2 linked regions of the Tribolium castaneum genome follow. Each later gene encodes a partner of the first gene's protein in a complex. Links are inferred from orthologs where the notes say so. Each region holds a gene or a part of one and is shown in the gene's direction. Other genes may lie near its edges.

What was found.
Region 2: the proteins of protein suppressor of forked (region 1) and CstF50 are in contact, whole or in part, in a crystal structure (PDB 6B3X), measured with the Homo sapiens proteins. The link is inferred for Tribolium castaneum from reciprocal best matches to the Homo sapiens genes CSTF3 and CSTF1. Residues at the interface, in NP_001317.1 of Homo sapiens: Tyr581, Pro582, Lys583, Pro584, Asp585, Thr586, Gln588, Met589, Ile590, Pro591, Phe592, Pro594; in NP_001028693.1 of Homo sapiens: Arg118, Glu216, Ala217, His226, Pro227, Ser228, Asp230, Phe231, Thr240, Arg242, Leu243, Tyr244, Cys251, Phe252, Val253, Ser254, Cys255, Tyr270, Ser272, Ser273, Ala274, Asn275, Gly291, Val292, Ser293, Asn294.

The regions. Positions count from the first base shown.
Region 1 is NC_087401.1:11,674,018-11,677,442, reverse strand, and holds the end of protein suppressor of forked, read left to right. Parts: intron 1-643; coding exon 644-835; intron 836-890; coding exon 891-1,082; intron 1,083-1,131; coding exon 1,132-1,448; intron 1,449-1,501; coding exon 1,502-1,696; intron 1,697-1,749; coding exon 1,750-1,910; intron 1,911-1,998; coding exon 1,999-2,339; 3' UTR 2,340-2,403; downstream 2,404-3,425. Other genes in the region: nuclear speckle splicing regulatory protein 1, read right to left, coding at 2,468-3,425. UniProt on the Homo sapiens protein: One of the multiple factors required for polyadenylation and 3'-end cleavage of mammalian pre-mRNAs.
Region 2 is NC_087398.1:3,467,512-3,472,552, forward strand, and holds CstF50 (cleavage stimulation factor subunit 1), read left to right. Parts: upstream 1-2,467; 5' UTR 2,468-2,593; coding exon 2,594-2,679; intron 2,680-2,726; coding exon 2,727-3,303; intron 3,304-3,360; coding exon 3,361-4,011; 3' UTR 4,012-4,173; downstream 4,174-5,041. Other genes in the region: Pink1 (serine/threonine-protein kinase Pink1, mitochondrial), read left to right, coding at 1-484, 538-636, 689-895; zinc finger protein 346, read right to left, coding at 1,128-1,270, 1,314-1,485, 1,529-1,600; TM9SF4 (transmembrane 9 superfamily member 4), read left to right, coding at 4,343-4,354, 4,402-4,790, 4,843-4,998. UniProt on the Homo sapiens protein: One of the multiple factors required for polyadenylation and 3'-end cleavage of mammalian pre-mRNAs. May be responsible for the interaction of CSTF with other factors to form a stable complex on the pre-mRNA.

The DNA.
Region 1 (3,425 bases):
ATTAATGTAATGATTGGCTTTGTTTCTCTTATTCATTTTTAGTTTACATAAAAAAATAAACTATTTCTGAAAAGCTATTTTTTCTTAAAACTAATTCTATCACGTAAAAATCTGCGTTTGCTAAAAATGCTTATTATTTTTTCTATGCATATGAATTTCTTCAGATTGTTTGTACAGTTCCTTATAACAATTATTATCAATGAATTGAAAATATTAATAGTAATATTAAAATTAAAAATATAAAAAATAATATAAAACTAAAAAATATCCCTAAACAACTCCTACTCATAAACGTTAATAAACGTATTATAAACGTAAAGTATAAAAAAATATCATTAATATTTGTTTAAAATTTCAAGAAAAAAATGTCAAATATTTTTTTAAGTGTTACGTTGGCACAAATTCTAATTGTTTAAACGACCCAATTTCATTATCAATTAAAAAATTAAAAACAGAAAAATAATTTCCATTGTACTTTTTTTAACTCTGCCTTAAAAACAGATGCTGTCTGTATTTCGTCACATATTATTAATATTCTTGCCTTAAAATAAGTAGTAAAGGACTTTTTCGTTTTAATGTTAGGCAGATTGTAAAGTAGAAAAATTTTACTCGTTACTTTTGCTGTTAAAAAAAATTCTTTCAGGTCGAGCTGTGGCAGAAATATATCGCGTGGGAGAAGAGCAATCCGCTTCGCACCGAAGACACGGCCCTCTTGACCAAACGAGTGGTCTTCGCCCTTGAGCAATGCCTACTTTGTTTGGGACACCACCCTGATATTTGGTACCAAGCGGCACAGTTTCTCGAATACAGTTGTAAAATTCTAGCCGAGAAAGGGGTACTAATTAATTTTGGCGCCAAACTTAAATTTGTTTATTTTTTGGTGGTTTTAGGACGTCAACGCTTCGAAATTATTTAGCGAAGAGGCGGCAAATATGTTCGAGAGGGCGACGAGCTCGCTCTTGAACAAAAACATGCTACTTTACTTCGCCTACGCTGATTACGAGGAAGGGCGTTTGAAATACGAAAAAGTCCACCAGATTTACCAAAAGTACCTTGAAATTCAAGATATCGACCCGACACTTGTACCAATACAACAAACAAAAAAAACGGTGTTTTTATCGTAATTTTTAGGCGTACATCCAGTATATGAAATTCGCCAGACGGGCCGAAGGGATCAAGTCGGCTCGGGCCGTTTTCAAAAGAGCGCGCGAAGACAATCGCTCCAAGTACCACATTTTCGTCTGCGCCGCCTTGATGGAGTACTATTGCAGTAAAGACAAAAACATCGCGTTTCGAATTTTCGAACTGGGTTTGAAAAAATTCGGGGATATCCCCGAATATATCACGTGTTACATCGACTATTTGTCACACTTGAACGAAGACAACAACACGCGAGTGCTATTCGAGCGCGTCCTGTCATCTGGAAGTCTAGAACCGGAAAAATCCGTGTACGACATTGGTATTTTTCACGACCAATTGACGAAACAAATTTCATTTTTAGTGACATTTGGAACCGTTTTCTGGAATTCGAGTGCAATATCGGGGATTTACAGAGTATTGTCAAAGTTGAGAAAAGACGATCGGAAGTCTTGTCAAAAATTAAAGAATTTGAAGGCAAAGAAACGGCACAATTGGTCGACAGATACAAATTTTTAGATTTGTATCCCTGCACGGCCACGGAACTCAAAAGTATAGGGTGAGAACAACTGTGAGATTAAGTTGGCAGCACTTATTTTTATTTTATATCAGGTATACAGAAGTGATCAACATAACGGGGGCGGGGCGCAACCACATTTTACAGTCGATAATCAACCTCGACGGCGACGCCCCCTTGCCCCTGCCCGACTACTCACAAATGATCCCCTACAAGCCCAAGTCCAACCCCCTTCCGGGCGAGCATCCGGTCCCCGGTACGTATAATTTTTTTGCCAACGCGATAACCAAAGTTTTTTAATTTTTTGACCAACGCGGTAACCAAATTTTTTCATTTTTTCCCAGGCGGTGCGTTCCCCCACCCTCCGGTGGCGGCGTACCTGTGCACGCTTCTGCCGCCCCCGGCATGTTTCCGGGGGCCTTTCGTCAACGTGGACCTCCTCATGGACATTTTCAACCGGATCCAGTTACCGGATTCGCCCCCGCAGCCGTCGGAAAATGGGGGCGATGTGAGGCTTTTTGATTTGGCAAAATCCGTTCATTGGATCGTCGAGGAAGGGGGCGGAGTCGGGATTAAGAGGAAGAAGAGACTGGGATTGGCTATGGATGGGTCAGATGATGAGGATTTGCCGCTGCCGCCGACCAATGATATTTACAGGCAGCGGCAACAGAAGCGTGTGAAATGATTTAATTGTGCTTTGTTCATTGTGACTTGTTTAAGTATAGAATAAATTGATTTCATTAGGATTATTCTGGTGTTTGATTTTACGGCGCCCACCGGGGAACCAAATTTTATTTATTACAAAACTCAAAATTATAGTTCCCTTAACGACTTTCTTTCAAAATACCTCCGCAAGGCGGCGTCAAACACTTCCCCAACTGTCCTTTTTTTCCAAATGTCAATTTTCGGTTTTTTGGGTGGGGGTTCAGGTGCTTGTTCCGGTTGTTTTTCTTCTTCTTTTTCCTCCTTGATTTCTTGTTTCTTCTCTTCCACTTTCTCCACCGTCACTTTTTTCTCAGTTTCTTCCTCACTGTCGGAAGAATCGATGCTGAAGTCAGAATCGGCGTCTAGATTCGAAGGGAGATGTTCTTTCTTCACTTCTGTTTCTTCCTCCTTTTCGCTCTTATCCGATTGTGAGTCTGAACTGTGGCGTTTTCTGTATTTCCTCTTACTTGGCTTATCTTCTACTGTTTCTTCTTGTTTCTTATCTTTTGTTTTTTCTTCTTGTTCCTTATCTTTTGTTGTTTCTTCAAAATTTACTTTCTGGTCGTACAAATGGCGGTAAAACCCGTCCAAATTCCCCTGTTTCGTCACGTCTCCAATCGATTCCAAATACTCCTCCCTCCTTTCCAATTCCTCCATCTCTTTCATTTCCTCCAATTTCTTCTTGTAACTACTAGTGACGAACGCCTCCTTATCTTTAAATTCGTCACCTTCCGTCTCCCTTTCTTTCTGTACTTGGCGTTCAATGCGCCTTTCATTCTCTTTTTTGCGTCGATCAGCAGCAGCAAGCAATTTATTTATGTATTTGGGCTTCCTGTCCAGATCTTTCCTACTCAATTTTGACTCCTTACGTTTCTTGTCCATTTCGTCGTAAATCTCGTCATACTGGAACACTGTTGGGTCTTCCTCAACTGCCCGATTTTGCAAAATTTTGTCTTGTTTTTTAAGCGATTTTTTGGCCCCCGTGGGGACTGACTCCTCCTCATCGGACTCATCGAAAATTGCGGGGCGTTTAATCACTGCCTTGTCCTTGTTTGGGACGATTAAA
Region 2 (5,041 bases), on another chromosome or scaffold:
TCCATCAACCCGCACATCGCTCCTCCTACTCGCCCAGTTGCTAGAAGGCGTGGCTCATATGACAGCTCACGGCATAGCACACCGCGACCTCAAATCCGATAATTTGTTACTCGACACCAGCGAACCCGAAAGCCCCATTTTAGTCATCAGCGACTTTGGGTGTTGTCTTGCTGATAAAACCAACGGGTTGTCGCTCCCTTACACGAGCTATGAGATGGATAAGGGTGGCAACACTGCATTGATGGCCCCCGAAATTATTTGCCAAAAACCGGGCACTTTCAGCGTCTTGAATTATTCCAAAGCCGACTTGTGGGCCGTAGGAGCCATAGCTTACGAGATTTTCAACTGTCATAACCCATTTTATGGCCCAAGTCGGTTGAAAAACTTTAATTACAAGGAGGGGGATTTACCGAAATTGCCCGACGAGGTGCCAACTGTGATTCAAGCCTTGGTGGCCAATCTCCTGAAGCGCAATCCCAATAAGGTTGGTAATGATTTTTTTGTTTTTCATTAAGGGTAAATTATTTTTCAAAATAGCGTCTCGATCCGGAAGTTGCGGCCAACGTTTGTCAGTTGTTTTTGTGGGCACCTAGCACGTGGCTAAAGCCGGGCTTGAAAGTACCAACAAGTGGCGAGGTGATTGTCTTTTGTTTAGGTAAAATAGCAATCGTCATTCGTTTGTTTTTAGATTTTGCAGTGGTTGTTGAGTTTGACGACGAAGGTTTTGTGCGAGGGCAAAATCAATAATAAGAGTTTTGGGGAGAAATTTACAAGGAATTGGAGGAGGACGTATCCCGAGTATTTGTTGATTTCTAGTTTTTTGTGTAGAGCTAAGTTAGCAAATGTTAGAAATGCGCTTCACTGGATTCAGGAAAATCTTCCCGAACTTGATTAAACTTAAGGCTATTTATTGCGAGGTCGAGGGCTGTTTTAGTTAGACACATGAGACTGCTAGATTGTGATTATGGTTAGTGTTTCTTTCTATAGATTCGGTTTTATAGAAATAAAAACACTTGATTTGTACATTACTGCTATTACTCACTGAAATATATATTTGGGTTTAAGAAAAGTCGTTTCAATCGTTCAACAATTTAATGGTAATAGAAATTTGGTAACAATGAACAAAATTACTGGCAAATCACTTTAAACAACAACAATAAGTTAATAAAAATACAAACGACACAGAAGAGTAAGATCCACAAGCCAGCGGTTCCTGTCGCGTCCGAAATGAAGTTTTCTTTTTTCATCAGCTTGTTCTTGTGTTTGATGCCTGTAACGTCTCTCATCATTTCGAAACTCAACATTTGACTTACTGTTCAAGTGGATGTTTAGCTGAATTTCGCTGTTTGCGACGACATCGCACAATTCACAAACGAATGTTTTTCCTTGTCTCTCTTCCTTCATTTTGTGCCTTCGCCCTTCCAAATGGCGCTGAAGGATCTTCACACTGGTGACTTTAACATTACATAATTCGCACGAAAGGGCCTAAAAAATCAATCACTAATTTGCTTCCCTCAAACTGGCTCACATTTTTATCGCTGTTTTCTTCATTTTTCTCGTTTAATTGCACTTCTTCGATCGAATTATGGAATTCGGACATTTTCGCACGTTCGCATGCCGCCGCAAACGCTATCACCTGACTTTTTCAAACTTTTTTTCCGACTTTATCTTCCTCGACCTCGTCAGTGTTTCAAAGCCGGTCAAGATGAACGCAGGTCTTTACGCCGACGGTGCTCAAGTCCAAAATTTCCATTTTGACGATCCTCTCAGTCGAGAATTGTTCGATTTTGAGATTCTCTGCGCCCACGGCAGTGTGTGCGTTCATAAACTTATTTTAATGACCCGAAGCCTCTATTTTCGCCAGTTGTTGGAGAACCAGGTAGCCATCAGGGAAATTACTTTAGAAGAGTTCAGCCAGGATGTGATGAGAAAAGTCGTACGCCTGATCTACGGAGATATTGTGAGGGTCCCTGAACTGCAAGTCGAAGAGTTTGTGAAGATTTTGCACTTTTTGAGAGTCGATTATTGGGCCAAGTTCAACAGATTGTTGATGGATGGGGGCGATTTAGGTGAGAAACGACAAAAAACGGAAATTTTATCTAAATTTAAAAGTTTCAGCTGCCATGGCTTCGACTCCGGACATCTCCACTGAAACGGAACCCTCAACTACGGACGACCTGGGCAGCAGGAGGTCCGGAGACGGCGATTCCATGGCTCTTACTGAATAACGATTTTTGTGCCTATCGAGTTTTTCAATAAAGGTTTCGAATTCAGCATTTCAGTCGTAGTTTTTTTACGTTCCTTCTTTCATTGAAAAAATTCAAGGCTAATTTTAAATTGCCTCCTTTTTGCCAACGCAAAAAATATCCCTAAAGAAATTTTCACAAATAATTTGTTGCCTTCCAAGCAACTAAATCAAGGTAAATAGTAATACGTTACATTCCAAATACTCGAATTTAATTTTTTTATCGAGTTTTGGTCAAAAAAAATAATTTTTTACTACAGCAAACTACCAATGTAACAAATCCGAAACCTCTAGATTTGTTTGGGTCGCATTTGTTGTTAAAGGGAATATTTAAAAAACCTCAATAAAATGACTAACTCAAGCATTAAGGACGAAGACGTGGACACGACGAACCTCCTCAAGAGTCGCGAGTTCCTCTACCGCCTCATTATTAGGTAAAACACCCAAAACCGGCAACCTAACCTAAATTTTTCCCTTCAAGCCAACTCTTCTATGACGGCCACCAAAGCATCGGCACTAATCTCACGGCCGCAGTCCAAGCGGACCCTCCGTGTGCCCCCAGTGACCGTCTTTTTCATATTGTCATGGCCGGGTTAGAACATGAGCCTGACCGTAAGGAGAGACCCCAAAACCCCGGCATAGGGAACAATAATATCGGTCCGGGGCTTGATCTCGAATTTGAGACTGAGTCAAATATCCCAGCGCCCGAACCCGCATTGTATGAAACTGCGTACGTGACGTCACATAAAGGGAATTGTCGTGCTGGGTGTTTTTCAAGTGATGGGCAATTAATTGCAACAGGGAGTGTGGACGCTAGTATTAAGATTCTGGATGTTGATAGAATGTTGGCCAAGTCGGCGCCGGACGAGATGGATCCCTCAAGGGGCGAACAACAGGGGCATCCTGTCATTAGGACGCTGTATGACCACATGGAGGAGGTCACTTGTCTGGAGTTCCACCCTAAGGAGCCCATTTTGGTGTCAGGGTCGAAGGACAACACGATTAAGATGTTTGATATCTCGAAAGCCAGCGTCAAGAAGGCGTTTAAAACAATATCTGTACGTTAAAAATTCAGGATCAAGCACCCTTTTTTAATAAAAATAAAATATTTCCAGGAGTCGGAACCAATCAGAGCCATGTCTTTCCACCCCGGGGGCGACCACATGATCGTCGCCACCAACCACCCCGTCGTCCGACTGTATGACGTCAATACCCTCCAATGCTACGTCTGTGCTTTCCCCTCCCACCAACACACCCAGAGCGTCACTTGTCTCAAATGGTCGCAAGACGCGCGAGTTTTTGCCACTTGTAGCAAAGACGGCAATATTAAACTTTGGGACGCGGTCTCGAACCGTTGCATAAACACGTTTCAGAAAGCACACGACGGACTTGAAGTCTGTTCGGTCGTATTTTCGAAAAACGGCAAATATTTGTTATCGTCGGGGAAAAACTCAATTTGCAAATTGTGGGAACTGACAACAAGCCGGTGTTTGATTGCTTATACGGGAGCTGGGACGACCGGAAAGCAGGAATATGAGGCTCAGGCTGTTTTTAATCACACTGAGGATTACGTCCTGTTTCCTGACGAGGCAACGACGTCTTTGTGTGCCTGGAATTCGAGGAATGCTTCAAGGAAGCAGTTGATGTCTTTGGGACACAATGGGGCGGTTAGACTCATAGCGCACAGCCCCACGCAGGCCGCCTTTCTGACCTGCTCGGACGATTTTCGGGCCAGGTTTTGGTACAGAAGAACCCCAACATTATAAAAAGTGTTACTTTCTTGTATAGGCAACCAATAATGCGCGGGCATTTTTTATTTTAATCTTATTTTTTAATTATAACTAATTAAGGCTGCGCGTAACATTACGTTCCATGTTGTGAGACAACAATTTGCGGCAATTTTTGTGTTAATAAAGAGATAAAAAGGATGATTTTGTTTGTGTGGGCAACCAGTTGTGCAGTTGACGTTTGTCACAACTTTTGGTGGTTGATTGGCGTTAATGGCACGGTTTTAAATTGATTAACAATGATTATTACACTATTTTAGCATTTCAGACGTTGAGAATTACCACATTTCACCGGTTACGTGGCGCCAAAATGAATTGCACGGTATTTGGGTGGTAGTTTAGTGACGTGACCTAACCTTACTTTTTTAGCAATTTTTTCTGTTTGTGATAAGTTTCTGTGTTTCGAGATGTTATTCGTTTTATGTTCCGGGGATGGCACCGGCTGATTTCAAAGCCGGTGATCCGATCGAAGTCAAGGCTGTGAAAATGACGAGTATCCACACGCAATTGCCGTACGAGTATTACTCTCTTCCGTTTTGTTTACCTAAAGGTGGTCTAAACGCGATACACTACAAATCGGAGAACCTCGGGGAAGTACTAAGGGGTGACAGGATTGTCAACACGCCGTACGACGTGAAAATGGCAGTGAATACGCCCTGTACGCTGTTGTGTAATACCCCCAAAAATCCGATTAATTGGAGCGTGGGGGAGTCCCAGATTGTGGTGGATCGGATCCAACACGAGTACTTCGTGCATTTGTACGTCCGCACTAATTTTTTCTATGACTGTGTTCCTAAAACGTGTTTCCAGACTAGTGGACAATCTCCCGGCTGCTACGCCTGTTTTGAACCCCGAGACGAACGAAATCCAGTACGAGCACGGCTACAGGCTGGGTAATTCGGTCGGTGATCGCAACTACATCAACAATCACCTCAAGCTCACCCTTTTGTACCACAACCCGACCCCGTGAGTAATCATCAGGGGTAATTGTCCAATTATAGGCAATGTA